Linked DNA regions of Struthio camelus. The protein of the gene in region 1 interacts with the protein of each later gene in a pairwise test. Links are inferred from orthologs where the notes say so. Each region holds a gene or a part of one and is shown in the gene's direction. Other genes may lie near its edges.

Region 1 (7,019 bases):
CAGTAACTATTGTAGATGCTGTGGCAGGAAATTTCCTGCTTCTTTCCAGTCGCACGCCTTGCATCTAGTCCTGTGCTAGCTCCCAGTTAATGGGAGCCTCATCTCAGCACCTTGCCCTATCACGCTGCTGCTCCCTCAGCAGTTCAAAAGAGCCCTCTTGCCTTCTCCTTCTTGCCCCTGAGCTGCAGCAGGGTTAGAAGGGGGAAGTGAATGGGAGCAACTGAACTCGGGAGTTTTGCATCCTTCCCCTCCTTCAGTTGCTCCCATTCACATGTGAAAAGGTAAAAAGGGAACTGCTCATAAATAGGGTAGTGTGAAAGCCTGTCATGTCTTTTACAACGAATGGCTGGGCTGGGTTAAGAAACTGTTCTGGCTGGTATGCGTGCCAAGAAGACATGCACAATGCATTTGACAACAACTTGCTGCCTCTGGAAAAGCAGCCCTCAAACACTACACAGAGGCAGTTCAGCCCTGTTGCTGCTGCATGAAAACTTTTAACAATAAAGCCTTAATGAAGAGCATGACAGTGGGACTGCTGTCTTGCAAGACACAGAGGCATTGGGAAAGTGCATGCTAAGCCAGAAGAGCCTGTTTTGGGGCAAGTTTGTGAGGCCTCTGGTTTAGGCATCACAGGACAGAACTGAAATTGTGATCAGACTCTGAAATTCCAGGCCTCAACATGAGGTGGTGCAAAGTATCCACTTCCTATACATGAACTGAGCTGCTGTTCCATGCACAGTGACGGAGGAGGAAGTGAATGCCTCTGGGTAAGAACTGGAGATACAGGAGGTGCTAATGAAACTTCAAAAAATGACGTTATCAAAACATAAGAAGAAACTAGAAGATTCTTCTTGGGGAATTCATCCTGCTCATTCATTCCTGCTCATCTCTACAACTACCTGCCTGCTTTTAGGAAGAAGCAAGAAGAGGGATTCAGAACTTAAAAGGATTTTTCCCCCCCTATGCTTTCTACTGCAAGAACAAATTTCAGAGAGGGGGAGTCCCGCTTTATAACTTTGTGTCATTTATTCACTAAGCATCCCAGGCATGCAGTATAACTTGAGTGCCTCCATTCCCCATTTGTAAAATGTGGATGCTAACACATACCAGCCTTGGGCAATATAATCACGATTCCCTTAGTCCTAACAACATGCTCACAGCTGCATGTTACACAAATCAAGTCAGTCCCTATTCAAAATGCACAAGTCCTGCTGGAAGAGGTGCTGAGCACTTGACACTCCAAAATGACTTCACGGGCAGATGGACATGTTCTCCCCACCCCTAATTAATATGATTCACTCTTGAGTTGTTAGCACATTAGCATAAAGAGCTCTACCCTCCTACCGCCCTGCTTGCTCAATTAAAGTGTCATTTGGACCTGATCCCTTCTGTGTTTAGAACACATGCACATATAGAGCAACACTGTAATTGTAAATATTTGCCCAAGGTCACCTCTGACACTTCCAGTTTGTAATCCAGAGGCCTAACTAGGCTAGGGACTCATCAAGCTGACAGTGGTGGTAATGTTCCCTGACAAAATCCTATCTCCTGTGGATCCCTTTAGAAAAACTGTTTGGGGGCTTAAAATACCCCTGACACCGAGCTGTGGCCTGGTAGGTCTCAGCCCACCTGGGCCATGGTATTTGGTGTGTTCTACAGATGGAGCCACAGCTGTGCACATCCGCCATTGGGCTTTGATTTGCAAGTGTGAGAGAGACAGCAGTAGTTAGATTCCTGGAGGACAGGAAAGAGAGGCACTGACACTTATCCCCTCCATATCGTCCCTAGCAGCAACTCCAAAGCCTCTGTTTCTCCCATGCTCCCTGTCCCTGCCAGCTTGCCTACCTTTCCCAGTGATGTGGTAAGGTTGTCATCATAGCTGGGAGAAGGTGTGAGATCAGGATACCACACAGCTGGCTACTGCTGCATGATGCCTGCTGGCTGGGCTCTCTTTCTCACCAGCATGCTTTGGGAGGAAGCTTGAAGGTCTCTGAGCTTGGGGCTGAGCCAAGCTACCAGACTCCTGTGACAGCTGCTCCTTGGCAGCCCTGATCACAGTGCAGAAGCCATGTGAATCCAGGCTCGGTTACCTGCAGAGTCCTTTGAAATGGGGTGTTTGTGGTCTCCAGTCATCTGTTAGTTGTTAGCAGCCTGTTTTCTGTTGCAGCCTGATGTGCCTCGTCTCTGGGTTGCACATCTGCGCTATTATCTTTGCTGTTCCCTGCTGCTTCATGTTTCCATTGGCCCATACAGTCAGTGTCTCCCCCTTGTACTGCCTCATCTAAGCTATACTGTGTTCACAAATGTACACACATAGGCGGGGGTCTCTGCACCTGGTAATTGGTGACCCTAAACACCAGTGCAGGATGTATAACTTTGCCCAACAGACTAAATCTGATCCCAGGTACCTGCTGCAGCCTATTAATAGCACTGAATTCAGGAAAGTTGCTTTAATTTCCTGCCTGTCTAAACAAAGGAAGAATTGGGCCCTATCAGGCTCTGATCGGGCTGTTTGTTCTCTTCTCGCTTGGTTTGCACAGATGCAAATGACAAGAATCAGTCCCAGGACAGCTATGAATTACGTGACTTGGCCACAGCAATGCAGACTGTTTTCCCTGTCAAAAGAGCAGAGATAGGATTTAACGCCGAATAACTGGTGTACATTAACTATCCCACTGTCAGATTCTCCTAGGGAACAGGATCTGTGATTTTTCTGCAAGGTAAACTAGGTGAGAACAACCCTGGCTGTGGTTATGATGTTGACTTCTATTACTCGGTAAAGTACAGCTGTCTTTTTCCACTGGAATTTCACAGTGTGACAACTACCATGTGTTCGGTGCCTTACTGTAAAAATGAAGCACATACTATGTGTCTGGGCATGCAATGACGATATCAAAGTGAATTAAGGGCAGAAAATGAAAGGGCTGCAGGTCCCTGCACACTAAACCGTTCCTTTGACATCTGAAAGGATCTCTTCCTACCTCACTGAGCGGCACCGAGATCCTGGATATACTTTTCCTCCTATTTATTTTAAAGAGAAGGGTCATTTAACAGTCCAGGCAGTCTTCAAATATAAATAACCTGTACAGCATATATGCCTGTTACCAAGGAATAAATTACATTTCTGGGTTCCCCTTCCCTTGTATCTCTTTGATGTTATTGCTTTGCACTTATATGTATGTATGTATATATGCACTTTATAAATAACAAAATAAACTTACCCAATAGGCTTTTTTACTGTATTAAAAACATCAGAATATCCACCCACTCTTCGGGACTAGAAAGTGGGGTTGGAGAGGGAACTAATCTAATCTATTTCTCAGCTGTATCGGACAATGGAAAAGCAAACACATTAAGAGTTGCTGCGAAGAAATTTAATCTCAACTTTTAAGTATCTCCTCCACTGTAATAATAATAAAACACCCCACGGATCTCATTTAAAGCCTTTGCCTGATGTACATGTCTGACTATCCTTGTAATCGCTATTGGTCTGTGCACAAGGAAGAAATGTTTCCTAACGCTACGCTCCTCTTCCTCGTGCGGGGGGACAGAAGACGGGTGGTTAAGGGCTGCGCTGTCCTCGGCCCCGACCCCGGGCGCCGCGGGCCGGTGCCCCCGGAGCACGTCGGGGCGCGGCCCGCGCGGGCCCGCGGCTTCGCCGTTCCCTGCCGGCCTTCCAGCCTCTCTCCTCCGCCGCCGCTCAGGCAGACACGGCGCGCCCGGGGGCAGGAAGGGGCGGCCGCGGGGCGGTACCGCCCGGCCCGGCCCGGCTCCGCGGCGCCCGGCCCCGCTGGAGCCTCCCCGGCGCGCCCTGGCTCGGTGCCACCGCGGCGGGGCGGGCGGGGGGAGCGCGGCCCCGAGGCCGCCGTGCCTGGTGCTGCTGCGCTGCCTCACCTGCGGCGGCGGGCAGGGCCGGCGGCGGCGGCGGCGGCGGCGGCGGCGGCGGCGGCGGCGGCGGCGGGAGGGCGGGGGGGCGGCAGGGAGGGCGGGCGCGAGGCAGGGCGGAGGCGGCGGGAGCGCGGCGCCCGCCTCCCGCCCCGCGCTCCGGCTGCCGCCCGCGCCGCCGTCTCCCCCGCGCCGCCGCCGCCGCGTCTCCAAGATGCCCGGGCAGCGGCGGGGAGGCTGCCGCAGCCCGCTGGTAGGTTGCGGCCCCGGGAGAGCGGAGCAGGGCGGGCGGGTGCCGCCCGGAGCCCGCGGGAGTACCGGGGCCCCGGGGTGAGGGTGCCTGGCCGGTCGCCGAGGGGGCGAGGGCGCGGGGTGGCGGGCAGGGCTCGGGTCCCCGGCGCTGCCGTTGCGATTTTGCAGCAAGCGGCGCAGAGCGGAGCGGGGGCCCGCACCGCCCCGTGCTTTCCCGGCCACGGCGCTGCCAGGGGCTCTCGCCCTGCCCGGAGCCGGCGACGCCCGGAGCCGGCGGCGGCTCGGTGCGCAGGCAGCTCTGCCAGCTGCGAAGTGTGTTTGCAAATGCTCCTAAGCATCTTCCGCTCCTCGGTGGGGAAGAACAGAGGAGTTTGCGCTCGGCGCCCTCCCAGCCTTTTTCCCCTTCCACGGGAGGAAGTTCAGGTGCGCCGAGTCCATCCTGCAAGACCAGCCAACGCGAGGTGCAGTGAGACGTCCCCTTTCCTTCCTAGCCGTTTCTGTTTGCTCGGAACCATCCTAGTATGAAACAGCTATTTGTTTGCTAGTTGGCCTTCAGGCTGGCGAGCCGGAGAGGACAAACTTGCCTTCCCACTCCAAGCTCTCCGTGCCAGCCAGTTTAGTTAGCATCTCCCACCCTTTTCCTGATTTTCCAGGTAGTGTGCGCGTGTGTCACATCCTTTCTGCCTCTCAGCCTGGCGACTACATTTTAAATCACTGCGTTTTCAGTTTCAGGCTCCCACTGCTGTCAGCAGGGAGCCCTGTGCAGTGTGGCTGCTTTCTGGTTGCTCCAGTTTTCGTTGCTAGCAGTGTTTCACAGCTTTAGCGATGATAAAGTTTAGCTAAATTGAAGTTAAAAGATAAGGGGGTCTCCCGAGGCTGGCGTCTTCAGAAATCTTCTAGCATTCTTGCAAAGCAAGGCGGAAAGGGGCACGTGTAATGTCTCTAATAATGCTAACCCCTCTGTCTCACTGAGAGACTGTGCAATATTTCATGGGATATTGCTCTACCATTTAATTGACTGTGCAGGACTGATATTATTGCTAGTCCTGAAGTGTAGCGTATTTTGGTTGCATTAAGTATCTGACAAGTTGTTAGAAAATGTGGCTGAGTGACACTCAAGACTTGAATTCCTAGTCTTTAAGCTTTATTTATGTCTCTTGCCTCCAAAAACATATCAACTGCATATTTTATTGCTCTGATGTGCACAGCTAAAGATGTTTGTAACGTAGTTCACAGGCGGCAAATGGCCATTCCATTGAATGGGTTGTAGAGCTTTTGGAGAGGGCAAATGTGTCTTGTTGCCCTACAGTTTTCTCAAGTCCTGACACGCTGGGGTGTTAATGGCTTCAACTGTGCCTGTTCTGTCTGGCTTTTGCCCAGGTCTTCTCCCGCTCTGAAGCAAGCTCTAAAACCTCGGCTGAGTCTTTGTTGTTGAAAGCGGCTTCAAGAAGACCGTCTGTCTTTGAGTAGCTGCCGTAGCTAGAACGAAGCTGGCAGCCTGTACCCACGAAGGCTCTCTGTATCGGCACGGAGTCATCGTTTGCTCCTAGACAGTGTATTGTCTTACAAGTGAGGTCACTGCTGGACAGCATGCTGGGAATTTGGGAAGCGGTGCCAACTGCTTGTCGTGCTGTGCGTGGGACCGAGACGCGTCGAGTTGGGGTCTGAACTGCTTCTTGAACCTTCTAAGAAGAAGAATGGTGCCCTTCCTTCCTTATCTCCCCCCACTCCAATGTGATCTGGGGATCGGGGGCAGAGGCGTCGAGGTCCTGCACGGCCCGGTTTGTGGCAGAGGAGGGCAAACTAGTTGGGGGATGTGGGGTAAGATGTCTGTGGAATAAACAAAGGCAGGCTGGTGAGTGCAGAGCTTCGTGGCTTCTGCGGGTGCTTTGGTCTCTGTGCTGGGGTTGTCGCTGCTGCATTTAGCCTGCTAGGAACGCGCTCAGAGCTGTTCACTTGGCTTTTTCTTCTTGTGAATGGGCAAGAAATAAGGGGGAGGGGAGGCCGTGAACGCAGGTTTATTTGTGGCATTTGCCCGCTGGGCGGTAGTGTTGTAAGGCTGCGATGATCTCTGTTCCAGGGGGCTATTCCACAAAACTACTTCTGGGAAACCAGCTCGGAAAAGGCAGTGAGTGGGGATAAAAATACAAGGAGGAAGAGCAAGTGTCAGCGATAGAAGCAGTTGCATTGATTCAGGCAGGTGGTGTTATTGCTACAGAGAGCCCTGGGTGTGCCTGCTGCTTTACAAACAATTAGAGACAGGTCTGTGCCCTGCGGAGCCTTTTGCGGCATCAGGTGAAAGTAGTGCGTACAGTGAGTGTCCGAAAAGTTGCACTGCCTGTTTTGTAAACGTTGCTTTAGAAAATGAAATTATGCTGCAGTGTATGATAAATTCCCTTGAAGGGTCTGCTTGCATGCGCAGTGTGATCTGATGGCCTCATTGGCAAAGGCACAGTGTTGGGGGGGGGATGCTAACAGTTTGTATGTGATTGCATATATATATGTTTGTAAACAGGGGTGGGATCGTCCTTGAGACAAGAGAATGGTTGACTTTTTTTTTTTTTTTTTAATCAGGACTCTATCATCTCCTCTTTGGGCTGGGGAGGTATGTTTCCAAGTCTGCACTTGAATTTTTCATCCGGAATCCCCTAGCGTTTGGCTTCAGGTGCATTTGTGTGCAGTCAGTGGTTGGGGCTGCTGCTGGGAGTTGCTTGGCCAGCCGGAAGTACGGAGTGTTTTGCTGAACCTGTCATGTCTCAGGTCAGCTACTGACTTTTGACAGTTCTCGCATCTCAGGGCTGCTCTTTTGCAATGTGGCTGGTAGTCTGAGAAACTGTGGCTCTTGGCCGTCCAGGCAGAGAGGCTGGATCTCTGCGGATCCA
Region 2 (7,045 bases), on another chromosome or scaffold:
ACAGCAGCACAGACCAGCTTCTTGTCTTATTCTGAGAGCCTTTTCAGCCCAGGTGAGGCTCGTCCATGGCTCGTAAGCCTTTGAGTTGCACATCCATTCAGCCAACTGTCTCCCCAAATGACTTCATAGCTCCTCCTGTGACCCTTCATCTGTACTGAAGGATCGCCCTGCAGCTGGCACGAAACAACTGGTGCTCTCAAGCCTAATCAACAGTCAGGCTGCTGAGCAGAAACAGCGGAAGCTGTTTGATGACAGGCTTTGTGCCCACACTGCACCCCACAGTGCAGCAATCCAGGTCAGCCATGGGGTAGGACTGACGCCTGCAACGCAAAGCTCTCTGAAGAGGAGACGCCATCTTTATGCCATGTGCGTGCAGAACCTAGGGCAGGAGGACCGTGCTCTCCACTGGGATGCCTAAGCCCAGCCATTTTCTGCTCAAGATGGGGAAAGAAAGCAAAACCCAAATCAGCATTAAATTATCAGCTAAAGAGATTGTTTTGTCCCCCTTGGTATGTTTAATAACCTGAAGCGTGCTACTAGTGTCGTGCGTCAGGACTTTAAGCAGCTTTTTAGTTTGATGGCATCCCTTCAGGGCTTTGTTTATTGACACTTCAATGACAGGCTCTTCCACAGCTGCAGCTGAGCCCCAGAGTATCTGCCTGAATTAAACCTTGCCTTGAAAAGGCAATAAATACTCCTTGCACATACACGAATACATCTAGTACAAACTAACAGCAACTAGTATACAAGTTCACATTTGAGAGGCTGGCCTGCAGGCCAAGCAGTCAATACATGGAAGGAAGAGGGGCTCAAGATTTCTAGTCTAGCATCTAATATGAGATTTCTCTATCTGTAGTTGTATTTTATATCAATCAAAGACAATCCTTACCTCCACAGATATCCCACGGGCACTGGGCCCCATTGTAACCGTGCCCACCTTCACCAAGAAGTCACAGTACTGGTAGCGGGTTCCCCGGCTCTCTATCTTGTTCGCCTTGGCATTTTGGAAGAAGCCTTTCAGCTTCACCATAAGGATATCAAAGTTGGCATCTGCTATGAGGCAGGGACCATTTTCAAAGAGAGCGAAACAGCTGAGGGGATATTCAGAGTTGTGCATCACATACATCAGCTTGCCTGTCTGCCCTGAAACAAGAGCAATGATATATGGGCTGCAGAAACAACAGTCCTGTGCTTGTATGTGCTTTTAAGAAAGAAACATCTCTTTGCTTTCCCTTTGTTTTCCTTGCTGCTTCAATTCTAGGATCCTTGTATTAGTCTCACACACTTTACGTTTTCTGAGTGTTCCGGAGATAGGTTATATTTCCCTCTTAGGGTTTAAAACTAAAGGAAAAAAAAATCTCATGCAGCCACTCCTTGCCCAGGGACAAGACGGCAGTGCAACTCAAGGGCCAGACTTGGATGTTAGATCTCCAGCAGGATGAGAGGGTCAGCAAAGAGCACCTGCTCCCCTCCCAGAACATGGGGCTGTCCTCTTCAGCCCTGCAGTAAAGGGAGAAAAGCTGGGTTTTGCCTCATCTCCCAGTCGCTGACCAGCCCCACAGAGCTAGCAAAGGAAGGAGGTGCCTGGGCACATTCTGGAAAACAGGACATCCAGAGAGGATGTGCCTAGCTTGTACAGTGATTCAGAAGTGGAAGAGGATTCTCATTTATCTGTGTTGGTTAAAAAAGCCTCTCAACAGATGTGATTGTGCAAGTTCCAGTTCCAGCTCCAGCAAAAAGCCCCTCTCATAGCTTCAAACCTGCAGACACATCCGCAAAACCCGACAGCAGGGCAGCTGAAGCAGCACCCCAGCTGCACCAATCTGCCTGGGAAGAGCGGTGAGGCTGGAAGGGCTCAGTGCTGACCTCTGCAGCCGCAGAAACACTGGAGGGATGTTCACACTGGTTTTTAAATGCTGTTAAAAGCCACATGCTTGGGAGGGAAAAGGAGGGGAGCACAGTCCCCCCAAGTGAGCAGATTAAGTCACGTCTTTCAGCTCTCCCGTTAGGCCCTGTGATGTCCAGAGGGAATGCCAGGTCCTCCAAGCACATCCCCCGGCCACGACTGGGTCATTTCACACCTCAGAAATTCCCCTAGAGCTGCTCACCACCGCCTGCCTGCCCTGGGGAGCCTGCTTTCTTCTCTGCTACCACCTCCTGCCCTCGATCGCTCACCCTCCTGGAGAAGAAGGGCAGAGCAGGTGACAGCAACAAGTTGCTCTCAGGAGACTCCTGTAACTTAGCTGCTGTGCAAAACGCAGCCTCCAAAACAAGTCACCAACAGTAACGCTTTAAGAAGCCTTAGGGAAAAAAACACTGCCAAACTGGCAGCTGGTTTTTGACCACTTATCTTATTTCACACGCACAAAAGAGAGATCCTACACAGCTGCTGATATTCCAGTTAAGAATCCTTAAGCGCTGACACAACACAGCTATCCTCAGTGCAGGAAAGGACAACCGTGGGGCATGTGTGTAACAGAGAAAACAGCATTAGTGAGACACAACAGGCTCCCAAGTGGAACGGCGCGTTTAGTCATTCAACATGTCTGTTCCAGGGCAGCCCACGGCACGCAGCACCCAGCCGCGGGGCCAGCGGAGCTGTCGGAATGACCTTCCCCGGCTCTCTGGGGACGATGCGCAGGGGCGCTATGTTTCCCAAAGCTATTCATCTGAGAGGGGAAGAGGTGAACTGCGGTATGAATCTTTCAAGGTAGAAAAAAGCTTTTACAAGCAGCCAGGCAACTGCCCGTTCCCCACAAGAGCTCAACACAATAAATAAAATGATGCTGACTTGTGGAAGAAACCTCAATTGCAGGGCAGAGCGGCGATCTCGCACGTAGCACGCGCTTGTTCCACAAGGGACCTCGCTGTTACTGCAGCCGGATTTCGCTACCAGCACGCTGGGCACGAGATGAAAGACCGAGAAACGCTCACGGGAGAAGAGAAGCCTCCGAGCTGGCACTGGATGAGAGCCTGCAACCACCTCCCTCCCTTTTACCGCGACCGGTCTCCGGGGGACCGCAGCTGCGGGGCATGCCCGGGGGTGGCGGCAGCGGGGGGCCGGCCCTGACCTTGGTTGCCCATGGTGGAGGCGGCGGTGTGGTAGGTCTCGCAGTCCACGCAAAACGTCCCCTGCTTCTCCGCCCCCAGCAGCTCCAGCTTCCTCGTCAGCATTTCGACCGTCTGCTGGACGCTCTTGCCCTCGGCCACGGGCACCTGCGCCACGCTGCGGGGGGAGGCGTCAGCGGCGCCTGCGAGCCCGGGGACCCGGCCTGGCCGCCACGGCCCCGAGCCAGGGGGTTAACGGCACCCGGGACGGGGGGAGGGCCACGGTGTCCCCCCGTGACAGCACCCACGCTGGGGGGGGGCCATCTGCCACAGCCTCCCCGTGACGGGGCCCATGGAAGGGGGGGGGACAGCTCCCGCTGCGGCCTCCCCGTGACGGGGCCCACGGAAGGGGGGGGGACACCCTCCGCTGCGGCCTCCCCGTGACGGGGCCCACGGAAGGGGGGGGACACCCTCCGCTGCGGCCTCCCCGTGACGGGGCCCACGGAAGGGGGGGGACACCCTCCGCTGCGGCCTCCCCGTGACGAGGCCCACGGAAGGGGGGGGACACCCTCCGCTGCGGCCTCCCCGTGACGGGGCCCACGGAAGGGGGGGGGACAGCTCCCGCTGCGGCCTCCCCGTGACGGGGCCCACGGGAGGAGGAAGGAACACCGCAACCCCCGCAACGAGAGCACCCACGGGGGAGGGAACATGCAGTTGCCCCCCGGCCAGCACCCACGGGGGAACCGTCCGCCGCAGCCCCCCGAGACGGCACCCACGGTGGAGGGGAGAGGGGGAACCGCCTCGCGCCCCCCTCCCCCCCCCCGCCATCCTTACCACGTGACGCCCATGGCGCGCGGCGGCGGCGGCCCCGGCAGCGCCGCTGCCGCGCGGGGGCCGCGGGCGGGGCGGAAGTGACGTGCGGGGCGTGAGGCGGCGTGTGACGTGGTGCCTGCGGCGCCGCGCGCGCCCTCCCGGCCCGGCCTCGCTCCCCCGCCGCCGCCGCCGCCATCATGCCGAAGGCCCCGGCCCGGGCAGGGCCCCGCGAGCGGGCGCCGCCGCTGGCCGAGCAGATCCTGCGGGCGGCGGCGCCGCGGCCCACGGCGCGCGTGAAGCGGCGCGGCGCGGCGGGTGGCGATGATGATGGCGGCTACGTGGACTCGCGGCTGTCGCGGCGGATCCTGGAGCAGGCGCGGCGGCAGCAGGAGGAGCTGGAGGCCGAGCACGGCCCCGGCGCGCCCGCCGCTGCCCTGGGTGAGCCCCGAGGCGGGGTCGGGGGGAGGCCGGGGGGGGGGGGTCCGGCCTTGCCCCGCGCTGACCCGGCCCCGTTTCACGCAGGCCCCGCGCCGCCCGGCCCGGACAGCGAGGAGGAGGAGGCGGCGGCGGAGGAGGAGGAGGAAGAGTGGCCCTCGCTGGAGCAGGCCGCGGCGGGGCGGTGGTGCCAGGAGGTGGCCGTGGACCCCGAGGACGAGAAGGCCATCGAGATGTTCATGAGCAGGAACCCGCCGCTGAGGTGGGCCGGGGGCCGGCGGGGCGCCGGGCCGGGGGCCGGGGACCGACGCTTGACTCACTCTCGCTTCCCTTCGTCCCGGCCCCAGGCGCACGCTGGCGGACATCATCATGGAGAAGATCACGGAGAAGCAGACGGAGGTGGAGACGGCGATGTCGGAGATAACGGGTTGCCCCATGCCTCAGCTCGACCCCCGCGTCCTGGAGGTCTACAGGGGCGTCCGAGAAGTAAGGCCGAGGCGGCTCCGCTCTGCGCGGGGGCCCGGCGGCGAGGCTGCCTCAGAGGCTGTTCTGCTACAGCCCGTAGCGCTCACCTGGCAGCGATCGCTGCCGAGCCCCCCTTTCCCTTCGCTGGTAGTAAGTACAGCGATCAGGACGTGTTCAAGGAGAGAAGCTCAGCTGGGGGTAAATTGGCATTTTCATGAGCAAAGTTGCTAATCTCCTTGCAGTGAGACACCCTGGGAAGCCCGAGAGAAACCCCACACCAGAAATGGGAGGGTGGTGTGATTAGTTAGCACGGCCCAGACAGTGCTTCCCTGGGTGTGCTCTTTCTCTTCAAAATAAATTAACTGCGATTTACATAGTGTCATTCACTGAAGACCCCAGAGTGTTTCTGAATGACTGAATCTCAAGGTCATGAAACAAATCCTGACGAATCCCCATGGTCCTGCTGTCAGTTCCACTATATCACTGCCAGGCTTGCATCCATTCCTTTTTTTGTTTTTTTTTAAGGTGCTGTCCAAATACAGGAGTGGCAAACTCCCCAAGGCATTTAAAATCATTCCTGCCTTATCCAACTGGGAGCAGATCCTGTACATCACAGAGCCAGAGACATGGACAGCAGCTGCCATGTACCAAGCAACCAGGTAGAATTGTGTCTGGGAATTACTGATTTTTTTTTTTTATTATTCGCTTCATCTTTCCACAAGCGAATACCAGATACGCAAAATGCCAGTCTGTGTCCTGCTTTCCTGTTCCTTTGCATGCCAAGGTGGAGGGAGTCATGGGGATCTCATAGCTGATGCCCTGGCTCAGGTACTGCCTGCAGTTACACACTCCCAGGACCTCTCTCCAGAGACAGACAGATCACAGCTTGCTTTGTGCTTCGCTCTTCCCAGGATATTTTCATCCAACCTGAAAGAAAGGATGGCCCAGAGGTTCTACAACCTGGTACTGCTGCCTCGGGTCAGGGATGACATCGCCGAGTACAAGCGTCTCAACTTTCACCTCTACATGGCTTTGAAGAAGGCTTTGTTCAAGCCAGGAGCCTGGTTCAAAGGTAGAGACTTCCCACAGGGTGATGGTTTGTACATAGGAGCCTTGCAGCCATACAGCAGCTGGGAAGCTCAGCAGGGGCATGTGTTGCACACTTGCCTTGTAACAGCACACCATGCTGTGTGTGGTGCGATGACTTCTGTCACGGCTGCAGCAGCCCAAGGGGTTGGTGGGAAGAAGGAGGGCAGAGAAGAAGCAAAAGAGATGTAGAGACCCCCTTGGGCCCATTTGCACCCTTCTGTGCTGAAGGGCAATGGGTACTGGCGGGTTACGCAGGTGCTGCCAGCAGATACTGGCAGATACTTGGTTTCTTTTGGAGGTCAGTAGCCCATTACAAATTATCCTAGGCCTGATCTGCATATTGTCTAGCAACCTGAGGATGTTTGGTGCTAGATGCATGGAGAAGAGGGTGGAAAGAGATATTGAAACTCCCATAACATAAACCAATGGAGGATCCTCTAATTCCTGGAGTCAGATGCATCCGGGGATAGGAGAAGGCAGCTCTGCCTGCTATGTTTAAGGACAGCAGTGTCTAACACTTTCCCCCCCGCCCCTGGCAGGGATCCTCATCCCCCTGTGCGAGTCGGGGACCTGCACGCTGCGGGAAGCCATCATCATCGGCAGCATCCTCACCAAGTGCTCTATCCCTGTCCTTCACTCCAGGTAACGTGGCAGTGGGGCCCTGCTGCCATGGGGTACTGGGAAGGATGGGCAGGGGGAACGGTTCTCCCTTTGTGATGCCGGAGCGATGCAATGGATCTGTCCCTAAGCCTCTCTGGCCTCTCGGAGACAGAGAAGGTTTCACCCAGCTCTGCCTTGTCTGTGCAGGGCTGAGGTTCAAGGCTTCCTGCAGTGCTGGGGCTGTCATCCGTGTGTCTGGGACCCACTGGGGCAGGGCTCAAGGGACAAGCTAACCTGGGAGAAAGGGAGCCTTCAGCTGTCCACGTCACGGGTGCCCCGTAGCTCTTGCTTGGCCTGCAGGTGCTGAGGCCCTGCCACACCTGCCCTCACCTTGGTGCTCCCTCCGTCCCCACAGCGCAGCCATGCTGAAGATTGCTGAGATGCAGTACAGCGGTGCCAACAGCATCTTCCTCCGCTTGCTCATTGACAAGAAGTATGCACTGCCCTTCCGCGTGGTGGATGCGCTTGTCTTCCACTTCCTGGCCTTCCGCACAGACCAGCGGGTCCTCCCTGTCCTGTGGCACCAGAGCTTCCT

Evidence for each region.
Region 2: the proteins of MID2 (region 1) and BYSL interact in binary tests that used the Homo sapiens proteins (3 or more experiments, as listed by UniProt). The two-hybrid records come from large-scale screens. The link is inferred for Struthio camelus from reciprocal best matches to the Homo sapiens genes MID2 and BYSL.

Annotation. Positions count from the first base shown.
Region 1 is NC_090952.1:2,236,106-2,243,124, reverse strand, and holds the start of MID2 (probable E3 ubiquitin-protein ligase MID2), read left to right. Parts: upstream 1-4,012; 5' UTR 4,013-4,138; intron 4,139-7,019. UniProt on the Homo sapiens protein: E3 ubiquitin ligase that plays a role in microtubule stabilization. Mediates the 'Lys-48'-linked polyubiquitination of LRRK2 to drive its localization to microtubules and its proteasomal degradation in neurons.
Region 2 is NC_090965.1:6,382,055-6,389,099, forward strand, and holds the start of BYSL (bystin), read left to right. Parts: upstream 1-4,031; 5' UTR 4,032-4,058; coding exon 4,059-4,299; intron 4,300-4,383; coding exon 4,384-4,558; intron 4,559-4,643; coding exon 4,644-4,782; intron 4,783-5,286; coding exon 5,287-5,420; intron 5,421-5,672; coding exon 5,673-5,833; intron 5,834-6,389; coding exon 6,390-6,492; intron 6,493-6,865; coding exon 6,866-7,045. Other genes in the region: MED20 (mediator of RNA polymerase II transcription subunit 20), read right to left, coding at 890-1,143, 3,072-3,226, 3,883-3,896. UniProt on the Homo sapiens protein: Required for processing of 20S pre-rRNA precursor and biogenesis of 40S ribosomal subunits. May be required for trophinin-dependent regulation of cell adhesion during implantation of human embryos.